Linked DNA regions of Macaca fascicularis. The protein of the gene in region 3 purifies or fractionates together with the protein of the main gene of each other region. This does not show direct contact. Links are inferred from orthologs where the notes say so. Each region holds a gene or a part of one and is shown on either strand. Other genes may lie near its edges.

Region 1 (7,409 bases), on a different chromosome or scaffold from region 3:
CTAACACTCCTGTGTCACCAGATGCAGTTGACGTCATTAATCCCTGTCAGGCCTCCTAAATCATCCAGCTTTCTGGTGTCCACATAACCTAATCTGTAATCCTATATTATAATTTTTAAATGTTTCTTTTTTTTTTCCTTCTGTGTGTAAGGTTTAATGTTTATAGCTCCTCTCTTATTGTCCTCTAGTGTTTTTGTTTGTTTGTTTGTTTGTTTTTTGAGACAGAGTTTTGCTCTTGTCACCCAGGCTGGAGTATAATGGCACGATCCTGGCTCACTGCAACCTCTGCCTCCTGGGTTCAAGCGATTCTCCTACCTCAGCCTCCCGAGTAGCTGGGATTACAGGCACCCGCCACTATGCCTGGCTAATTTTTGTATTTTTAGTAGAGACGGGGTTTCATCATGTTGACCAGGCTGGTCTTGAATTCCTGACCTCAGGTGATCCACTTGCCTCGTCCTCCCCAAGTGCTGGGATTACAGGCGTGATTCACTGTTCCCGGCCTCTACTCTAGTTTTTTATAGTTGGTTAGAGAGTGTGAATGGAAAAAAAGAAATAGAGCTGGGTGTGGAATAGGTTACTTTTTCACATCTGCTTAAGTGTGGGGGTGTAAAATTTATTATTAAGAGAGGCCTCTTCTCTTTTTTTTTTTTTTTTTTGAGACAGAGTTTCACTCTTGTTGCCCAGGCTGGGGTGCAATGGTGTGACCTCGGCTCTCTGCAACCTCTGCCTCCTGGGTTCAAGCGATTCTCCTGCCTCAGCCTCCTGAGTAGCTGGGATTACAGGCATACACCACCATGCCCGCCTAATTTTTTTGTATTTTTAGTAGAGACGGGGGTTTCTCCATGTTGGTCAGGCTGGTCTCGAACTCCTGACTTCAGGTGATCCATCTGCCTCGGCTGCCCAAAGTATTGGGATTACAGGCGTGAGCCACCATGCCTGGCCAAGAGGGACCTCTTTATAGACCTTTAGAGAGGGTTTATTGTGGGGAAGCAAGAGCAGGTCAGTGGAAGAAATTAAGTGATAAGAAAAAAGTGTTTCCTCCTAAAAGAATATTTATAGAGTCAGGACAGCAAAAAAAGTAGTAATAATTCCCTCTCTTTTGAAGTTTCTCAAATTAGAATTGTATTTTGTTTTTTTTTTTTTTAAGTAATGCTTAATAAGATGATTTGAATATGTGCGTGAGTATAGGTCAAATTTCAGAACCAAGGGATTATAAAGACTTCAAATGTTAAAGCACCATACCTTGCATGTGTAGAAGGACATGCTCACTGTTGAGTATGTTTGCCAATTTGTCTAATATTTCAACTTTTCTCTTTCATTTGTTTAAAATTTTATCTTTGAAAAGAAAGGGAGGGGCATATAGATGTCAGCTAAGGTTTCTTTTCTTTTTTTTTTTTTTTTTTTTTGAGATGGAGTTTTGCTTTGTCGCCCGGGCTAGAGTGCAGTGGCACCATCTCAGCTCACTGCAACCTCTACCTCCTGGGTTCAAGCAGTTCTCCTGCCTCAGTCTCCCGAGTAGCTGGGACTACAGGCACACCCACCACGCCCAGCTAATTTTTGTAGTTTTAGTAGAGACAGGGTTTCACCATGTTGGCCAGGATGGTCTCAATCCCTTGACCTCATGATCTGCCTGCCTCGGCCTCCCAAAGTGCTGAGATTACAGGCATGAGCCACCGCGCCCAGCCAGCTAAGTTTTCTTAGAGTTGAGCCTAGTCTACCGCCATGCCACCCTGAATGCGCCTGATCTCAGAAGCTAAATGACAGTGGGTTGAGCCTAAATATTACTAGAAAGAATACAGGAAAGGATCATAAAGGAGGAAATATTACTAGGTAAAAACCATTAGAGCTGGAGACCCAGAGTTTGGCAACAATAATTTGAATGCACTTTGGATGGTTTTCTTTTGGTAAGGTGGATGCACAAGTTCTGGTAATTCACGAGTCTTTGGAGTTTTTGGTTGTGAGTTCACCTGTGGTCTGAAATGACTTTTGTTTGTTAGTTTACTTGTCCTGATGACTACTTAAGATACAAATGATTGCTCCCTTTTCTCCTTTACTTTTTCTTTACATGTTATATACTTTTTAAATGTTTTATTTTTGTAGTTATTTGGAATCTCTCAAGGTAGATAAATATTAGATGTGGTTGGGAAAATCATCCTGTGAGACCTGTGTTTATTTTTAAACAACAAGTAGGGATGGATAGAATAAAGCAAAACAATAAAAATCTCATAATCCATTTCTGTCCTGTCTGTCACATATTTTATGTTTAAAAACTATAACAACCTAGAAAACTATGGCTATGTCTAGGCCCGGTGGCTCATGCCTGTAATCCCAGCACTTTGGGAGGCTGAAGCAAGTGGATCACCTGAGGTCAGGTGTTCGAGACCAGCCTAGCCAACATGGTGAAACCCCATCTCTACTAAAAATAGAAAAATTAGCTGGATGTGGTGGCAGACGCCTGTAATCCCAGCTACTTGGGAGGCTGAGGCAGGAGAATCACTAGAACCCAGGAGGTGGAGGTTGCAATGAGCAGAGATCACACCATTGCACTCCAGCCTGAGTGGCAAGAGCGAAACTCCATCTCAAAAAAAAAAAAAAAACTGTGGCTATGACTCATGAAGTTTTGGTTACTTTCTTTTCCTCCTGCTGCCTTCCTTTCCCTCTCTCAGAACATTATTATTATTCCTTTAGGGAAATCTAGGGACTGTTTGAATCTTTCCCTGAGGGATTTATTTCCCGCATTAGACTTCTAGACTCCTTAAGTGCCTCCATCTCCTCTCCTTGTTCTGCTCTCTGGGCTGAAGGCAAAGAAGATAATACTTTTTCTTAAACTTGATTAATGTTTTACTCCCTTTGAGGTGTTTAGACTTTAACTCTTATGTGCTAGTCTTTTTATTTCTATTTTTATTGTAGGCTTCCTTTAATAGAACGGGAATGTTTTACATAAGCCTGTCTCATAAACCAGTTTTTTTCTCTCAAAAATTATTAGCAATCTGGATGGAGATTTGTGGGCTGGCCAGAAATGATCTTTTCTGGGGATGGTGATGTGTGGAGGAGTGGTGGGGAAGTAAAATCATTTCTCAGCTCAGTTCTGGACTTAAAATGGTAGTGGAATGAGAATGAGGAAAGACTTAATTATAAATTCTGTCATGCTGGCCTGTCAGAAAAGGTCTCTGTAACAACACCTGTTTTAACATAACATGTAATGTGTGTATATTTTAAAGAGACTGTCATCAAGGCTGAAGGAAATGGAGAGTCATCTGTCTCTTTCTTAACTGCTTTCTTCAGGATGATGCCCGACAATTATTTGTTTTAGCTGGCAGTGCTGAAGAAGGAGTCATGACTCCAGAACTAGCAGGAGTGATTAAACGGTTATGGCGAGATGGTGGGGTACAAGCTTGCTTCAGCAGATCCAGGGAATATCAGCTCAATGATTCTGCTTCATAGTAAGTAATTTTTCTCCATGAAACTATAACAGAGAATAACTTGGTGACACTAGAGAAAGTTTAGTGCCCATCCTTAAGGAAATGTTTAAGTAATAGACACTCTTAGAAGTTTATAGGATGCTTTATAAAAATTGTCTAAGTTTAGGATTATAGAGCCCTTGGTCATTTGTATGATTTGGAGGAAAAAGTTCCCTCTTGGAATGTAAATGGGAGACTTGGCACCACTAAATTAGTTCCATGGCATTTTATTATAAGCAAGTGAAGGAGGAGAGACATCTATTGTGGCTGGGTTCTGAATCTGTTCCAACTCATAAGTTCTGTGTAAGAGCTTGGCACTGATAGCCAGCTAGAAAGGGAAATTAGAATTGTGGTATTCCTTTTTATGCAGCCAGCTCTCTGTGTCTGGGCTGCACCGTGGATTTCACTAATAAATATTTTGCCAGATCACAATAGTAGACTTTGTATAGAAAGAGGTTGAGTCATGGAATGAAGTTGAAGTATCTTTTTTGTCAAGGATATTATCTTGAGTGTTAACATAGTTTTAGAGAATTTGTAATGAATACTTATATAAAGCTATTACATGTTATCCCATTTTACCTCTTTTACATATACTTATTTATAAAACCTAGATTCAGAATTTTTTTTTTTTTTTGAGACGGAGTCTCGCTTTGTCGCCCAGGCTGGAGTGCAGTGGCGCGATCTCCGCTCACTGCATGCTCCACCTCCCACGTTCACACCATTCTCCTGCCTCAGCCTCCTGAGTAGCTGGGACTACAGGCGCCCGCCATGACACCTGGCTAATTTTTTGTATTTGTAGTAGAGACGGGGTTTCACTGTGTTAGTCAGGATGGTCTCGATCTCCTGACCTCGTGATCCACCCATCTCGGCCTCCCAAAGTGCTTGGATTATAGGAGTGAGCCACCGTGCCCAGCCCAGAATGTATTTTTTTAAATGTACTTTTGCGGGGCCTGGTGAGCACTTGTTATCTGTATTTCTCTTTGTACTTTTAAGCATTAGGGTTTTTTCTCCAATATTATTGTTTTCCTACTTTTCACATCATCATTCTAGCTTAAATTGTTACAAGAAGAAATTAAATGATATAGTCAGGCTGTGCATAAGGACAGGGATACATTCTGAAACATGCATCATTAGGTGATTTGTCATTGTGTGAACATCATAGACTATGCATACACAGAATTAGATGGTATAGCCTACTACACACCTAAGCTTTGTGGTATATCCTGTTGCCCCTAGACTGTGAACCTGTACAGCATGTTATTGTACTAAATACTGTAGGCAATTGTAACGTAATGGTAAGTATTTGTATATCTCAACATCTCTAAACATATAAAAGGGTAATAGGGCCCATGATGTCACTAGGGACTAGGAGTGTTTCAGCTCCATTATAATCTTACAGGATCACTAGCATACATTTATGGAGTCTGTTGTTGACCAAAACATTGTTATGCAGCGCATGACTGTATTTGAAAACTTTCTTATTCTTTCAGTGAGAACTTGACTTTAGAAACGTTTCAGGATTCTTGCCTACCTTTTAATAACATATTTTAGTTGCAGGTATTGAGAGCTTAAATAATTCTACCAGTGGTCAACAAAAGTAGATTATAATTGCTTTTTTCATCATTCATTCAGAAAGCTCTGAATCCTCTAACTACATGTGCTTACATTATAGAGATTTTCATAACAGTTGATCTAAGTTTGCCTCTTTACATTAGTGATAGTATTTGGTTTTATAGATCATTAATGATTCACTTATATTGGTGCCATCTGCTCATCAGTTTTCTAGCCTGAAATCAGCAAAGAATATAGTTTTGAAGCAGTCTTTTAATTATTTCCCTGAACAAATTAATTTTTTTTGGAGGTATTTACAATTTGTTTTTGGTTTAGATTTAAAAAACCCCCAAACCTCCCCAACTCTTCTGTTTATTGAAAGAAAACGGAAAATATTCTTACTCACTATAGTTCTCTTAATTTTAATAAATTAAACACCATTCTCTAATGTCCTGTCAAATGGTTAAACACACATGACCTATTAAGTTTAATTGTCTGAGGACTTTTGGTATAATTTGGTTTTGGTATTATACAGTATGCAGTTAATTTAGTATTACATTTCAGGAATTTTTCTTTACTAAAAACATTTCCTGTTCCTATTGTTTTAATTTTTTAAATTGGCCTTCACAGTTTAATTCTGTAGAATTAAACCTACTTTTGTGTCTGGGCACGTTGGCTCACGCCTGTAATCCCAGCACTTTGGGAGACCAAGGCAGGCGAATCACCTGAGGTCAGGAGTTTGAGACCAGCCTGGCCAACATGGTGAAAACCCATCTCTACTAAAAATACAAAAAATTAGCTGGGCGTAGTGGTGAGCATCTGTAATCCCAGCTGTTCAGGAGGCTGAAGCAGGAGAATCACTTGAACCTGGAAGATGGAGGTTACAGTGAGCCGAGATCACACCACTGCATTGCAGCCCGGGTGACAGAGTGAGACTCTGTCTCAAAAAAAAAACAACAAAAAGAAAAGAAAAGAAAACAAAAACCTACTTTTGTTAATGTATATAGACTCTATACTTTAATTGTCCTATGTTGGATTCGTATTTTTTCTTATTATTTATTTCTTTTTTTTAAGAGACGGGGATCTCACTCTGTCACTCAGGCTGGAGTACAGTGGCACCCTGCAGCCTTGACCTCTTGGGTTCAAGTGATCCTCCTGCTTCACTCAAGGGTAGGAGGATTAGCTAGGACTATAGGCGTGCACCACCATGCTTAGTTAATTTTTAAAATATTTTGTAAAGACAGGGGTCTCTTTATGTTGCCCAGGCTGGTCTTGAACTCCTGGCCTCAAGTGATCTTCCTGCCTTGGCCTCCCAAAGTGTTGGGATTACAGTCATGAGCCACCATGCCTGGCTTCTTATCTTTTCTATGATACTGAAGATCTGATTCTGTTTTGCCACTCTAGTAACTAGTAACAGGTTTAGAATAGGAACTAATTTAGTCTGTTGATTTGCTATGCACATGGTTGGCTTCACCAAGTAAAAGTAAGTGTGTCTTTTATTTAGTTATCTAAATGATCTGGATAGAATATCCCAGTCTAACTACATTCCAACTCAGCAAGATGTTCTTCGGACGAGAGTGAAGACCACAGGCATTGTAGAAACGCATTTCACCTTCAAAGACCTATACTTCAAGTAAGTCATTAGCCTTTTTGCTAGGTGTGCCAAATACAAGTATCTTTTGTTTTAGTTTACCATCTCTTAATCAGGGCAAAATTCCTCTGGGCAGTATTCCTTGGTTTAGAAACTTAACCTATTTATCAGCATTGTTTGAATATTTTAACTGAATGGGGGCCCAAACATCTCTTGTTTCTCCAAATAGCATCAAATGTTTGTGTCCATTTAGAGGAATTTAAATTCAAAAATAAATTGTAACTTGCCTCCCAGTAAAATTTTTCCTGTGATAACTGGTTTGTTTTAATTTTATTCTTTTCAGCTGCTTGTTAGACTCACCAAAACAGATATCGAATGTTTAATACGGTAACAATATTGAACTTATGAAAACCAGTTTTTTTGGTTAGTTACATGGTTTTGTTTTGCCATTTTGATATTAAAATAGGAATGCTTTTCTCCCCAGTGTCACTTCTTTTTGGTTTGAATTTCCCTTCCAGTTGAATGGAATGGAGCAAGTATTATCATGGCTCTTGAAGTAATTTGTGCGTAGTGTCATGTACAATTAAGTTCTTAGTACAGTGCAGAAATATGGGGATAGAGGTGTTTTGGGTTGGTAAGATGACATTTAAACAGTGATTTTTTTTGGTTTGTTTTTAAAATTTTATTTTTTAGAGACAGGGTCTTACTCTGTCATCTTATCTGGAGTGGAGTGGTGTGATCATGGCTCACTGCAGCCTTAACCTCCTGGGCTCAAGTGATCCTTCTGCCTCAGCCTTCCAAGTTGC
Region 2 (7,409 bases), on a different chromosome or scaffold from region 3:
CCATGGGGAACCATGACACATGTGCTGTGACCCGCATACCACGCACCGCCCCCTACTGACAGAGCCCTCAATGTGGAGGCACCATGGTGCATTCCACACCAGCCTCTCCCTTTTCCCCAACAGGTGGGTTCACCCCAGGGACCCCCTGCCTCACTGCAATCTTGGAGGGTTGCTGTGATGAGGGGCTGGAGGAGCCCTGCTTCCTGTGGTGTTCCAATCCGCAACTCATCCCTGGGGGGAACTGTCAAGGCATAAACCTGCCTGGGAGAGCAGAGCCTGTGTTCACTCCCAAAACTGTGCTGGGCACACAGTGGGTGCCTAATGTCTGAAGAATGAAGAAAGAGAATGATGGAGAAGCGGGAGGTGGCCTGGAGCTGGCTCTATCCCTGCTCCCTTTGAGTATCATGGGCACCAAGGTCCCTGCTGCTCTGAGCGCCAAGCTCGCTGGTGGCTGGGCCAGAGATCTCAGGGAGGGGCAGTGGTGAGGCCTGGGGCCCCCACAGCATTTAACTGTGACTGCATAGCTCCTGTAGGGGGTACGTATTCACAAGAGCATTCAGGCCATGTAAGGAGGGTAGGAGGAGGCTGTTCATGTGGCTGGCACAGGGCTCAGGACCCTCCTCCTCCCACCTACCCTTGCTGAAATCCACCCTCTGGGTGGGCTCAGGATTGGATTAACAATAGGAGCAAAAGGGTGTTCCAGACAGAGGGGATTGGCTTAAGCAGAGATCAGGGAAGACTAGAGAACAGGGACAGCAGCCTATCTGGTGACACCATCCAAAGCCTGTGGATGTCCCCTGCAGCCATCCTCAATGGCTATCAGCCTGTCTGTCCTGTTCCCCGTGGGTTCCTCAGCACCCTCCACCAGTCCGAGTACATGACAGATACCACAGCGAAGGAGTTCAGAACTGTGGAAAGGGTGCAGACCTGTCATGCCTCTGGGATTCCTGGGACCCCTTGTAATTCCTCAGCTGAGTCCTGGGTTCAGCCCAGAGCCAGCGAGGGTCAGAGGTGAGGTCCAGGGGCTCCGACCTACACACACACCTGTCACCTCCCAGATAACTTCTTCCCCTGTGGCCCCCACCAGCCAGCCTCCACAGCCTATGTTCAAGCACAGCCAGCTCTCCACCACCCCGAGGATGCTGCACATGCTATGCCCCTGCCTGGAATCCCCTCATCCACTCCTCCCCTGGTTGACTCTCCTTCAGAGCTCAGCAATCCTGCCTCTGGGTCAACCCCACCTCAACCTTTTCACTAACATCCTAAATTGTCACTGCATGGGGACTTTGCTCCACTCATCACTGTGTCCTTGAAGCCTTGCACAGGGCCTGGCACAGAACAGGTGGCAGCAAATTTTTTTTTTTTTTTTGAGATGGAGTCTCGCTCTGTCACCCAGGTTGGAGTGCAGTGGCACTATCTTGGCTCACTGCAAGCTCCGCCTCCCGGGTTCACGCCATTCTCCTGCCTCAGCCTCCCGAGAAGCTGGGACTACAGGCGTCCACCACCACGCCCCGCTAATTTTTTTTTTCTTGTATTTTTAGTAGAGACGGGGTTTCACCATGTTTGCCAGGATGGTCTCGATCTCCTGACCTCGTGATCCACCCGCCTTGGCCTCCCAAAGTGCTGGGATTACAGGCATGAGCCACCGCGCCCGGCCTTCTTTTTGTTTTTTTGAGATGGAATCTCACTCTGTTGCCTAGATTGGAGTGCAGTGGCATGATCTCCACTCACTGCAAGCTCCGCCTCCTGGGTTCACGCCATTCTCCTGCCTCAGCCTCCCAAGTAGCTAGAACTACAGGCACCTGCAACCACGCCCAGCTAATTTTTTGTACTTTTAGTAGAGACGGGGTTTCACCATGTTAGCCAGGATGGTCTCGATCTCCTGACCTCATGATCCGCCCACCTCGGCCTCCCAAAGTGCTGGGATTACAGGTGTGAGCCACCGCGCCCGGCTGCAAATGTTCTTTAGAAGAGTGTATGTCAAGACAGATCAGACTCAACTGGAAGAGATGTACTGTATAAGCCACCTGCCTGTCATTCCTCCTGGTCGTTCAATAACGTGTCACCCACCTACCCCCCAAACCAAAAAACACCAAGGCCTTGGTTAACGGTCTTCGGTTTCATGAGCAAAGACCAGCAGTGTCCTTCTGGGGGTTCTCAGGCCCTCCAGTCCAGCCTTTAGTCCTCCCCCAGCCCCTGCCCTGCCCAGCCCAGCCCCTCAGAGCACTCACTAGGCGGCTGAGTCGTTGAGCTGGTATTCCCTTGAGCGGCCAAAGCAGGCCTGCACACCATGGTCAGCCCAGAGCCTCCGGATGACGCCGGACAGGTCATCGGGGAGCACGCCTTGCTCCTCAGCGGTGCAGGACAGTGCAAATAGCTGCCTGGCGTCGTCCTGGGCACAGCGGCGGGTGGTCAGGCAGTTGAAGGAATATACCCCCACCCTGCCAGAGGCAGGGAAACCTCTGGAATGGGGCCCAGGCTAGGGTATTCTTGGATTCCCTAGGATGAGACTTGCCCTAAAACCTTTTTTTTTTCTTTTTTCTGCAATGGAGTCTAGCTCTGTCACCAAGTCTAGAATGCAGTGGGGCGGTCTTGGCTCACTGCATCCTCCACTTTCTGGGTTCAAGCGATTCTCCTGCTTCAGCCTCCCAAGTAGCTGGGACTACAGGCACGTGCCACCATGCTCGGCTAATTTTTGTATTTTCGGCAGAGATGGGGTTTCACCATGTTGGCCAGGCTGGTCTTGAACTCCTGACCTCAGGTGATCCACCTGCCTCAGCCTCCCAAAGTGCTGGGATTACAGGCATAAGCCACCACACCCAGCCACCCTGAAACCTTTTGGGAGGTGGGAGAGGGTGGGGCGGAGGGCACATACCGCTCTGGAGGGGTCGGCAAAGTCGATCTGCAGATTGCCCATGGCTTTGACAATGGCCATGATGGACTGGATGGTGTTGCTGTAAACAACCGCCCGGTACTGCCGGCATTCCTCCTCGGAGTAGCCATCCTCGTGGATGATCCTGATAGCCAGGAACCAGGAAGGTTAGTGTCCCCAGGGCACTGGGAGTTCCCACAGCTGCCTGGGGCTGCTGGGACCTGCTTCAGAGAAGAAAAAACTGCCCCTGACCCACTGGGACCTGAGGATAAGTGACTGCCTCTGAGAAGGTTCTGGGCCTGGCTAAGACTGGCTGGGCCTGTAGTCGGGGGCAGTACAGGCCCAGAGGATGAAGAGGGGAAGCTGGAGTTTGGGCACTGCCTCTGGGATACAGCACTTACTTCATCTGCTTGACGATGGTGCTCTTCCCTGACTCCCCAGCACCTGGAACAGAGGGCACAGGTGGTCAGGGGGCAGGCCCAGAGGGGCTCCACAGGCACAGAACAAATGCCCAGACACCTGTAGCCCAGGAGGCAGAACTAACCATCCTACCAGCTACACTGTGAGATGGAGGCAGCTGGGCCTGGTGGGCAGTTGAGCTATCAGGAATGCAGCTGGCAGGGCCACAGTGGTCAAGGTAACCTAGAGCACCTGTGCCCCATGGCAGACTCTCTGCAGGCCTTTGCCTCCCACAAGCTCTGCTGCCCACCATGGCTCCCCATTGTCCTGGTTGAGTTCAGGGGTCTTGGCTGGAGACTTGGCCAGACCTGAAGGAGTCAACCTGTTCTCACATACATAGGCTCACCAACCTGTGCAGCTGGTGCATGCCAATATGGTACCCTGGGCAGAGCTGGCAGGAAGATGCCCTGCATACTCCATCCAACAGGGTAGCAGCCCTTCTTCTCCCCACACTCTGAGCCTTAGCAATCAGGGCCCTAAGCAGGAGCACAGCGTCACACTTCAGCTTTCTGGACGTGGCCCAATGCCCCGCCCTCTGCTCACGGCACCCAGGTCTGCCCTGAGCAGATGGAGGCTAGAAGGCTAGAATCTGGGAGACCTACAGTTTAACACAGAAACGTACTGACTCATGAATCTGGGAGACCTGCGATGTATTTCACACACCCACACCCACACACGCCCATACTGACTCAAGCTTTTCCCTGGCCTGGTACACCCCTGGCCCATATTTCTCCTTAGCTGGTACTGAGATTTGCTGCATTCTCTCGTGTTAGTCACAGAAGATATTGTTTCTGTTCCCATTCTACAGACAAGGACATTGAGGCTCAGAAAAATAAAATATTGATCTAAGATAATGTAGCCAGGACTCAGAAGGGCAAGAGGGTGGAGGGAACCCATGATGCCAGGTCCACCCTGCCATTCTCAAAATGTGGCTAAGACCCTGCAGGACAATGCCCTGGGGAGGTGTTTAAAAGAGCAGATTCCACCGGCGTGGTGGCTCACGCCTGTAATCCCAGCACTTTGGGAGGCCGAGGCAGGTGGATCACCTGAAGTCAGTAGTTCGAAACCAGCCTGGCCAACATGTCAAAACCCCATCTCTACTAAAAATAACAAAAACTAGCTGGGCATGGTGGCGGGTGCCTGTAATCCCAGAGGCTCGGGAGGATGAGGCAGAAGAATCGCTTGAACCTGGGAGGTGGAGATTGCAGTGAGTCGAGATCATGCCATTGCACTCCAGCCTCGGCAACAAGAGCGAAACTTGGTCTTAAAAAAAAAAAAAAGCAAACTCCCAGGTCCCATCCCAGATAACAGCCAGATCTTGAGGAGTGCAGCCCAGGAGCCTGTATTACCCAGGGAGTCTGTGTGAAGAAGGACCAGGAGGGCCACCCAACTCCCTGGCTAGGGGCCAGAGGGAGTGGAGGCAAGGCCTCACCTTGACCTTGCTCCCTTGCTGCTGGCTGTCTTGAGCTCCAGGTCGAATGGCCCCCAGCTGGGCCCTGCTGTTCTTCCCAGACCCCTCTGCTCCTGCTCCATCACTGCCAGTCAGACCTGCAGCTGCCAGGTACTACCTGTAGCCACCTCCAGCACCCTGCTCATGCTGTTCTCTTTGCTGGGAATATGTGCCCCATGCCCCATTCACAGTGTTTCAGTTCTGATCACTGTGGCACGTCTGTTCCTCTGTACAGCTTAGCTGGGTGGCCAGTGCAGTCTGTGCAGAGGTCAAACTTGGGGACTCAGGCCAACCTTACCAGTATCCCTCGGGGCTGGTCAAAACTACCTCAGAAGAATGAAGGTGCTAACACACAAACAAACACAAGCAGTAACAATAACATCGGCAATATTGACAGCAAAGCTATATGAAAACAGCGCCCACCATGTGCCGGATGCTGTTCTACATCAATGACACCCACCAACTGCCACCTCCACAGCAATCCTGGGAGGTGGGTTCCATTCTCACCCTGCTCTAACCAATGAAGGAACTGAGGTCCAGGGAGGCTGAAGTCACAGGTTAGAGTCCCCTCTGCAGGGAGCGCATTTGTCCACCATGCAGTCCCTCCTAGAACTGTCCTGAGTACCTGGTACTGCAGCGGAGCCACACAGTCCACCTGGCACTGGGTTCACTCCCTGTCTCCCCAGGCAGACTCTGGGCCATGTGCGCAGTGCTCAACAAGCAGCAGCAGGCATTGGGATATGGTGGCAGGCCGTGCCAAGGCCCCTGCCCACCTTCAGCCCCCTACGCCAGAGACCACCCTGAGGGGAAGGGCCTGAACCCTCCTCACAAATGCCACCAGGTGTCTGCAATCACTGAGCTTCTGACTGTCCCAGGCCTGCTTTCCAGGATGAGGGGAGGGGATGTGGGGAGATGGGGAGTGACAGCTAGTTGGGTAAGAGGTTTCTTTTTGAGGGTGGTGATTATATTCTGGAATTAGATAGCAGTGATGGTTGCACAACCTTGTGGACATACAAATGTGCAGGCCCTGGGCAGGCTGGGGCAGCAATCCCCTCTATTGCTTTAGCCCCTGGGCACTACAGGTGCCAGGCCCACTATCTTCACTGGGGTGTATACCAGAGTATATACTAGCACCACTCCCTCCCCATTGGGCTGTGCATGGCAGAGGGGCAGCCAGGATCTCCATACTAACACTCCTCCGCCTGCCAATGGGGATACAGGGAAAGGTCCCAGGAAAGCCTCACAGTGATGCCCCATCACCAAGGCCCATCCCCCTGGGGCTCAAAGCACCCACTGGGGCAGGGAAGGCAGCAGTAGCCACCTGACTATCCTCCTCACTGGCTCCTCCAGAGCAGGAGGAAGAACCAGGAGCCAGTCACAGCCAGGATGGGGGGAACTGAAGGAGCAGAGGCCAAGGATGCCAAGTCATGAGTCTCCATGCAGTCCCCAATGAGGCAAGCCGAGACTCAGCAGGGAAGCTACCCAGGGGATGGGGGACCTGAGGTCTAGGGTGAAAGCTGCCCCCTCTTGTGTGACTTCAGGACTCCTGCCCACTTGAGGCATTAGTTTCCCTATCTGGCCACTGGGAGTGAAGAGGGGGTCTGGCCCTTTGAACACTCTTAGTAGGTGATGTGGGCCGCTTTGTGACCCTGCCGAGGGGCAGTGATGAGGGTACAAACTTGCTTTGCATCTGATTTTCCTAGCAGCAGCTAGACCTGGTAGACATGAGGTAGGCAGCACAGAGCCAGTCATGCTAGGAGCCAGGATATCTGCTCCCTGCCCCAGCCCTGAGAGGGCCCACTTCCCTGTCCCCCTCGAGTTTCAGTTTCCCCTCCTAAGGCCTCTTAAATGTTAAGAGAACATTCTCTACCCCTAGCAGGGGTCACTGAAAAAGACCTCCACTTGACAGGTAAGCAAATCAAGGTCATGGAGCCTCTATCCCTAGACTCAGGCTGGTCTCTTTGTCTTTCCAGCAGCTGTGACTCAGGCGGGAAGTAGTGAGTGGCAGGACAAGGGCGTGGTGCTGGCAGTCAGGCAGGAAGCAGGGGGAACAATGGGACAGAGGCAGGGGCACAGCCCAGGAGCAGCTCCAGCAAAGAAGGGGGCCAGGAGCAGAGGTGGGTGGAGTATGGCATCTGGATGGAATGGGTGGGGTGAAGAGCTCTTGGGCAGCCCACAGGCTAAGTGCTCTGGCAGCTGAGGCAGTAGCCTCACTCTCCACATCTCTGGCTGGGTCCTCTTTCCATCAGGACCTGATGGATATCCCCTACCAGATAAGATGGCATGAGGCTTATCTGTGAGTTTTGCACGCATCCAGCTCCCCTCCCACCTGCCTCTCAGAGGAGTGGCTGAGTCCAGGTTTTTCTTTTTTCTTTTTTGAAACAAGAGTCTCATTCCGTCGCCCAGGCTGGAGTGCAATAGCATGATCTCGGCTCACTGCAACCTTTGCCTCCTAGTTCAACCTCTGCCTCCTGGTTCAAGCGATTCTCCTGCCACAGCTTCCCCAGTAACTGGGACTACAGGCATGTGCCACCACGCCTGGTTAATTTTTGTATTTCTAGTAGAGACAGGGTTTCACCATGTTGGCCGGGCTGGTCTCGAACTCCTGACCTCAAGTGATCCACCTGC
Region 3 (6,667 bases):
CTTATTCACAGTGAAATATTTGGTGATGAATCAGAGGTAGTCCAAAAAATGATCAAAATTCATTACCTAACATTCATGTTGAACGTGTTTAATCACTAAGCAATTATGGATTTAATATCTAAGATTGATTATCCTGTCAGATTGCCTCCCAGAATGTTTAAAATCAAGTTGCTCTGCTGCTTTGTCAGAAAAATATGTGACTGCTTATGCATGTCCATGATTTACACAAACACACATATTTGGTAATGAGACATACAATAGAGCAAACTGAAGTTATTCCTTTCCCCAATCTATAGTATCATTAACTCTTTAGTTTTAAACAAAGAAAAACCATATTTTATATGACTATGAAGCTTACATAATATAGTATAGGGAGTATGTCCCAAACTAATCTGTTCCAACAGGTATAAGAAAAATACAACAATATATGTTTAAAAGTTACATTCACTAAAGGCAAAAAAGATAATCCCATATGGTTTAGATTTTCCATAGGAGAATACAATTGAAGCAAGCTCTCCGGTGATAATATTAAAATAATTTATGTAAATTAGAATGGTCAAATGTTTCTGTCTTTGCAATCCAACTGGATGTTAGTATAAGTACTTAAATTATGGAATGCTTATAATTGCACAGCATTCCAGTAACTGATAGAAGAAAAGACAATGATAGATGCTGATCTTTATTCCACATCAAATGGCCTTGCATAGACTTTGCCTAACCAGAGCCTCAGATCCCAGTGAGTGCTTTTAAAAAGGGGCATTTTTCCCTGTTATAACACAGGTACTATTTTTGGCCTCACAAAGCCTCCAGCCTAGGCAGTGAAATCCCAGCTATAGACAAGTGCAAATAATCCTAGAATTTGCAAATATGCCACAGAAAATATCATTATCTCTTTTATGCCAACCCTCACATCACCACTAGTACTCCCATAGGCGGAGGGGAGACTGGCAAATATTCTTTACCCTGGAAACAAGTGATTCTGACAGACTGCAGATACTTGCCTCAATACAGGCCGACAGCTCCTTAATACAGCTTAGCAGATTTCATGAAAAAGGCTGCTTCCGGGCCGGGCGCGGTGGCTCACACCTGTAATCCCAGCACTTCAGGAGGCCGAGGTGGATGGATCCCAAGGTCAAGAGATTGAGACCATCCTGGCCAACATGGTAAAACCCCATCTCTACTAAAATACACACACACAAAAAATAGCTGAGCATGGTGGCACACACCTGTAGTCCCAGCTACTCGGGAGGCTGAGGCAGGAGAATTGCTTCAACCCGGAAGGCAGAGGTTGCAGTGAGCCAAGATTGCACCACTGCACTCCAGTCTGGTGACAGAGCGAGGCTCTGTTTCAAAAAGAAAAAAAGAAAGAGATAAAGTCGCTTCCTTGAATAAGGAGCACATCTCCAGTGATACTACACGATGCTACCCAGGCACCCACTAGTCCTGTGCAACAGTCATTTGATAAGTCCTAATCTAATGGTCTTGAAAGAGATAATCTTCCAAAGAGACTACAAAATAATTTGTACACTGAAAATATCAAGCACAACTGATTACATATCTGAGTTTTTCCAGAGGGAAAAACACAGAGCTAAGGACGCTCTACTTATTGATATCACAGTGAGGAACCAGAGAAAATACCTCGAATGATTATGAGACTTCTACATGGGATTCTAGTAGGGGAAACCAGGGTCTCTACTTTGATCTTTCTGAGTTGCTGTTCCATTGGCAATATTTTAACTATCTGATGGTAGTGAAAAATCATTTCAATATTTTAAATTTACATTCTTGATTTTCAGGTGAGATACTCTTGGCAATATTTTAAAGGGCACAGTTTTCTATTCACTATGTTTGCTGACATACAGTTCAAATATAGTACAATATAGAAATAAAGAAATAAAATTCCATAAAGAACAAAGGAATCATATCGCAACATAGTAATTCATACCAAGCATCAAGAAAAGAGTGTAAAATAAACTGCAAAAAGCCTTCAGTTGAGCATGGTTAATTTTTTAAGTTTCGGTTATCTGAAATTTGGAACCTGGCCTAAATATTATCTTTACTATTTAAATTTGATTTTGATAAGAACTCAGAACTTTTACACATAAATGACTTGGGTAAAGTTTTGGAGACAACTTACACACACACACACACACACACACACACACCCCAACAACGACAAACATAATTTGGTGTTTTCCAAATATGCTTAATGAAGAGAATCATTAGCAAATATATCCAGATAACTTGTTGTCTTACGTATATAGTTGCAAATCAGCAATTTATTCTAGTATGTGACAGCTTTGCTACAGACTTTTAAAATACAAGAAAACATGGTTATAATCTGTAGCAAAACACTTGATATAACATATCTCAGAGTAGTCTCAAATAACCATTTGGGTAAACTTCCGCCAAAGTTTATGAAAGCATAGTTTTGCAATGCATTTTTTCTTCGCTCAGACTTTCAGTACTATTAGGGCAGTGAAATTCTAAAATGAATTATTGAAGAACATTGTTTTGCAGTATCTATAAAAGAAAAGCTATCTGGTTTCAGTTATTTACTTGCACAACTAAAGCGTCAATCTAGAACAGATTCAGCACCATATCAAAAAGTCTACAGCAACTTGATCTTTTGTCATTTTTAACTGAGCTCATTTGTCATTTTTAACTGAGCTCATTTGACAAATTAATGAATTAACAGAGATCAATTCAAAACGGCTGCTCAGTGACACAATAATAATAAGCCAAATGTCTAGTACATTTAAATAAAATTGTATACATAGCTACTACTTTAAAGTCCCAGGGTAATTGACATGTGAATAAGAGCTCTGTAATATAATTTAGTTTTTTTTTTTTTTTTGAGGCGGAGTCTCATTCTGTAGCCCAAGTTGGAATGCACTGATAGGATCTCGGCTCACCACAACCTCTGCCTCCAGGGCTCAAGGGATTCTCCTGCCTCAGTCTCCTGAGTAGCTGGGATTACAGGCGTGCACCACCACACCCGGCTAATTTTTTGTATTTTATTAGAGATGGGATTTCATCATGTTGCCCAGGGTGGTCTCGAACTCCTGAGCTCAGCTGATCTGCCCGTCTCAGCCTCCCAAAGGGCTGGGATTACAGGTGTGAGCGACTGTGCCCAGCCTATAATTTAGTTCTTTATCTGGTTGTATGCACAACTTGTAGTATAGAGCAGCAAACATTTATGACCATGAGTGTAGCTACCCAATGCTAACTCTGCCAACTGAAAGGTTTGTGGTGTTGGTTGTGGTTGTGATTGTTGATGAGCCATTAACTGATTTATGTTCAGCCTTTCCCTCTGTAATAAGAGGCACTCATCCCACTTTCATTGTTCCATTTACAAAAAAAAAAAATTGTTCCGTTTGCTCATTTATAAATAAAATTCTCTATTCATTTTTCTGCTAGAAATCTTCAAAAAGCGAAGAATGAAATTACCCCTTTTGTGGCCCTCATTTACAATAAAAGTTTGCACACTCCTTCCCCTGAATGCAGTCAGCAGCTCACTCTCACCCCAGCCCTGAACCACATTCCTCAGTTAACATGTAACTCTATACATTCTGTACTTCTCTTGACTGGTAGAATTGGAGGTGTTTACAAAGCTGACAGTACATTAGTTCAGAAACTATGGCAGCAAAAAGGTAAAGCTGGAAGGTTCCTCCACCACCCGGCTTTTCTGTCAACAGGAAAGGCAACACGGAAAGGCGCGAGGCCTTGAGTAGCGTGTGCATCTCGCGGGGAATGCGGTGCCGTTTTAAACCGAGTCCACCTTTACTAGATTGTTTTTGGTCGTCAGTGGAGACGGCTTGCATTTAACCCTATCGGCCACGTCGTTAGAGCTATCCACAAAGAACATCCTGGCAGTACACAGAGAGACTATAATTCTTCTGTACTCCTTCCTGAAATTTTGGTTCAGTAGCCCGTATATAATGGCATTGAGGCAGCTGTTGAAATAGGCCATGTAGTAACTCGCCACAAACAGCCACTCTGGGATCCTAGGCACCATGCTGGCGGGGTCAGAAGCCACGGCCAGGCCAATGAAGTTCAGAGGAGCCCAGCAAATGGCAAAAAGGACAAAAACCACAAACATGGTGACAAAATTCCTGAAGTCCTGTGGTTTCAGCCTGGGTTTGCGGTCAGGCTTCACCCTTTGTCTGACCTGGAGAACCAGGATCCATATTCTCAGGTAACAGAAGATGACAATGATCATGGGGACGAGGAAGTGGAAAACCACCACGGCGATGGTGTAGGCAGAGCTGACGGACTGTGCGAAGGTGCACGAGTAGATCCTCGGGTCGTACTGGAGAGTCCCGGCACGGAGGTTGGGCAGGACAGCCACCAGCGTCAGGAGCCATATGAGGAGCACATAGCAGAAGGAGTTCTTGCTGCTGTACAGTTTGTCGTACTTGAGACTGTGGCAGATGTAGCAGTAGCGGTTGATGGCAATGCCGGTGATGTTGAATATCGAGCCGATGACGCTCAGGCCCATCAGGAACCCACTGATTTGGCAGTGCAGATACCCCAGGTTCCACCCATTGTTAAATATCGACGTCAGCACCAACGGGTACGGATAAACAGCCACCACCAGGTCTGCCACCGCTAAGCTCACCACAAAGATGTTTCCTGAAAGAGAAACGTTTAGAAAATACAGTGAATACCAGTTCACACTGGGTTTTCTGTTACAATTGTTAAAGAAGGAGCTGCTTCTGCCTGCAGCTCTGATGACCTGACGTCACAGCTGCTGCCACACTGCAAATGAACTGGAGGCCATTTCACAGGACGCCAGCCCACTGCCACTCGTGACATATCAAATCCACTGTTCACACGTTCCCGCCTCCCCAGAACAGCCCCTGTTCCCTGTTCCCTGTTCAAAACTACTGTCTTTCAAACCCTTCAGTTTCTCATTTCTTAAAAAGTCCTGAGATCAGAATACTTGCATTCCATCTGTTGTTCTAGAGCCTTCTACATCACCTGAGCAATCTCATATGATGTTATGTCTCAAGCCAGCCACAACTGCCTTAAGTTCAAGTCTTCATTCCCTCTGGAGTCCTGCAGCAGCTCCCAAGGGGCCTCTAGCTTCTGTTCTCGCTGATCCCACAGCGCGGGAGTTACGACCGAGAGGGCTGTGTCATCGGCCGTCTGGATGAGAACACCGCTTCAATCCATACCAACTGTCCAACCGGGGCACGTTACTTGACCTCCCCAAGCTTCTGCCTCCTCTCCTAGATGATGGGATAATGAGCATCTTCCTCTTAGGGCTGCGGTGAGCATGACATGAGACTATCTGTGGCGAGTGCCATGCACCGTGTCTTACACCAGAGAAATGTTCTTATTCTACGACTCCCTCACCTTGAACCAAAGGAAAATGCAGAAATTCTCCTAGATTTTATAAAGAACTTATGTTACAAAACTTAAACCCTAAATAGTCTAACTATTAATTTTCTCAACATAGCAACACATATTTAATTATAGAAAAAAAAAACTCTGGTCACTTTTTTATTTTTATTTATTTATTTATTTATTTATTTTGAGACCGAGTCTTGTTCTGTCACCCAGTCTGGAGTGCAATGATCTGATCTTGGCTCACCCTAACCTCCACCTCCAGGGCTCATCCTCCCACCTCAGCCTCCCAAATAGTGGGGACCACAAGCGCACACCACCATACCAGGCTGGTTTTTGTATTTTTGTAGAGATTGGGTTTTGCCATTTTGTCCAGGCTGGTCTCGAACTCCTGGGCTCAGGCCATCCACCCACCTCGGCCTCCCAAAGTGCTGGGATGGCAGGTGTGATACATTGCTCCCAGCTACGTTAGTCAAATTTTATGAGATGTTCTGCAAATATGGTTTTTCCCTTCTGCGGCTCTTCTGCCTTTGTTTCTTACTATTCCTTCTGCCTCGAATGGCTCCTCACAGCAACTTTCTAAATGTTACCCGTTCTCCCAAGTCTATCTCAAATAGAAATGCCGAGGCCTTTGCTCGTTTGCCCACCTAGAGGTAAGAGTCCACCTAGAGGTAAGAGCCTCCTCCTTTGAAGGGTCTTAAACCACTTTGTACTGCTTTTTACTCAGGTTAAATTACAATAAATTCAATTCAGTTTACATAGTAAATGCATATATTTGGTGCTGGGGAAACAGGAATTGAGAGACAGGAAAAGCCAAAAAAATTACACTAGAGTGGCCAGGAGTGGTGGCTCACACCTGTAATCCCAGCACTTTGCGGGGCCGAGGTGGGTGGATCAAAAGTCAGGAGTTCAGGACCAGCCTCGCCAACATGGTGAAACCCCGTCTCTACTAAAAATACAAAAATTAGCTGGGCGTGGTGACAGGTGCCTGTAATCCCAGCTACTTGGGAGGCTGAGCCAGGAGAATTGCTTGAACCCGGGAGGCGGAGGCTACAGTGAGCAGAGATTGCGCCATTGTACTCCAGCCTGGGCAACAAGAGCAAAACTCCGTCTCAAATTAAAAAAAAGAAAGAGAAAATTACACTAGAGTAAGCAGCAGCACCAGAGCATACACCGAACCAGAAGCAGTGAGGAAAGGGGTGCGCTAGACAGGGACGGAGGGAGCCCCAGGTGGAGGGACAGAAGATTTCGCCTTCTATTCTATTGACCTGTAAGCCAGGCTTCCCTGCCTGACTCGAGACAGTGGCCCTCGTGA

The links.
Region 1: the proteins of MTNR1A (region 3) and GNAI3 purify together in Homo sapiens (tandem affinity purification; 3 studies listed by BioGRID and IntAct, with this or other methods). This does not show direct contact. The link is inferred for Macaca fascicularis from reciprocal best matches to the Homo sapiens genes MTNR1A and GNAI3.
Region 2: the proteins of MTNR1A (region 3) and GNAI2 purify together in Homo sapiens (tandem affinity purification; 3 studies listed by BioGRID and IntAct, with this or other methods). This does not show direct contact. The link is inferred for Macaca fascicularis from reciprocal best matches to the Homo sapiens genes MTNR1A and GNAI2.

The regions. Positions count from the first base shown.
Region 1 is NC_088375.1:124,758,041-124,765,449, reverse strand, and holds part of GNAI3 (guanine nucleotide-binding protein G(i) subunit alpha-3), read left to right. Parts: intron 1-3,285; coding exon 3,286-3,443; intron 3,444-6,516; coding exon 6,517-6,645; intron 6,646-7,409. UniProt on the Homo sapiens protein: Heterotrimeric guanine nucleotide-binding proteins (G proteins) function as transducers downstream of G protein-coupled receptors (GPCRs) in numerous signaling cascades.
Region 2 is NC_088376.1:113,279,426-113,286,834, reverse strand, and holds part of GNAI2 (guanine nucleotide-binding protein G(i) subunit alpha-2), read right to left. Parts: intron 3,317-7,409; coding exon 3,274-3,316; intron 3,018-3,273; coding exon 2,876-3,017; intron 2,393-2,875; coding exon 2,232-2,392; intron 1-2,231. UniProt on the Homo sapiens protein: Guanine nucleotide-binding proteins (G proteins) are involved as modulators or transducers in various transmembrane signaling systems.
Region 3 is NC_088379.1:191,294,422-191,301,088, forward strand, and holds the end of MTNR1A (melatonin receptor type 1A), read right to left. Parts: intron 4,636-6,667; coding exon 3,767-4,635; 3' UTR 2,828-3,766; downstream 1-2,827.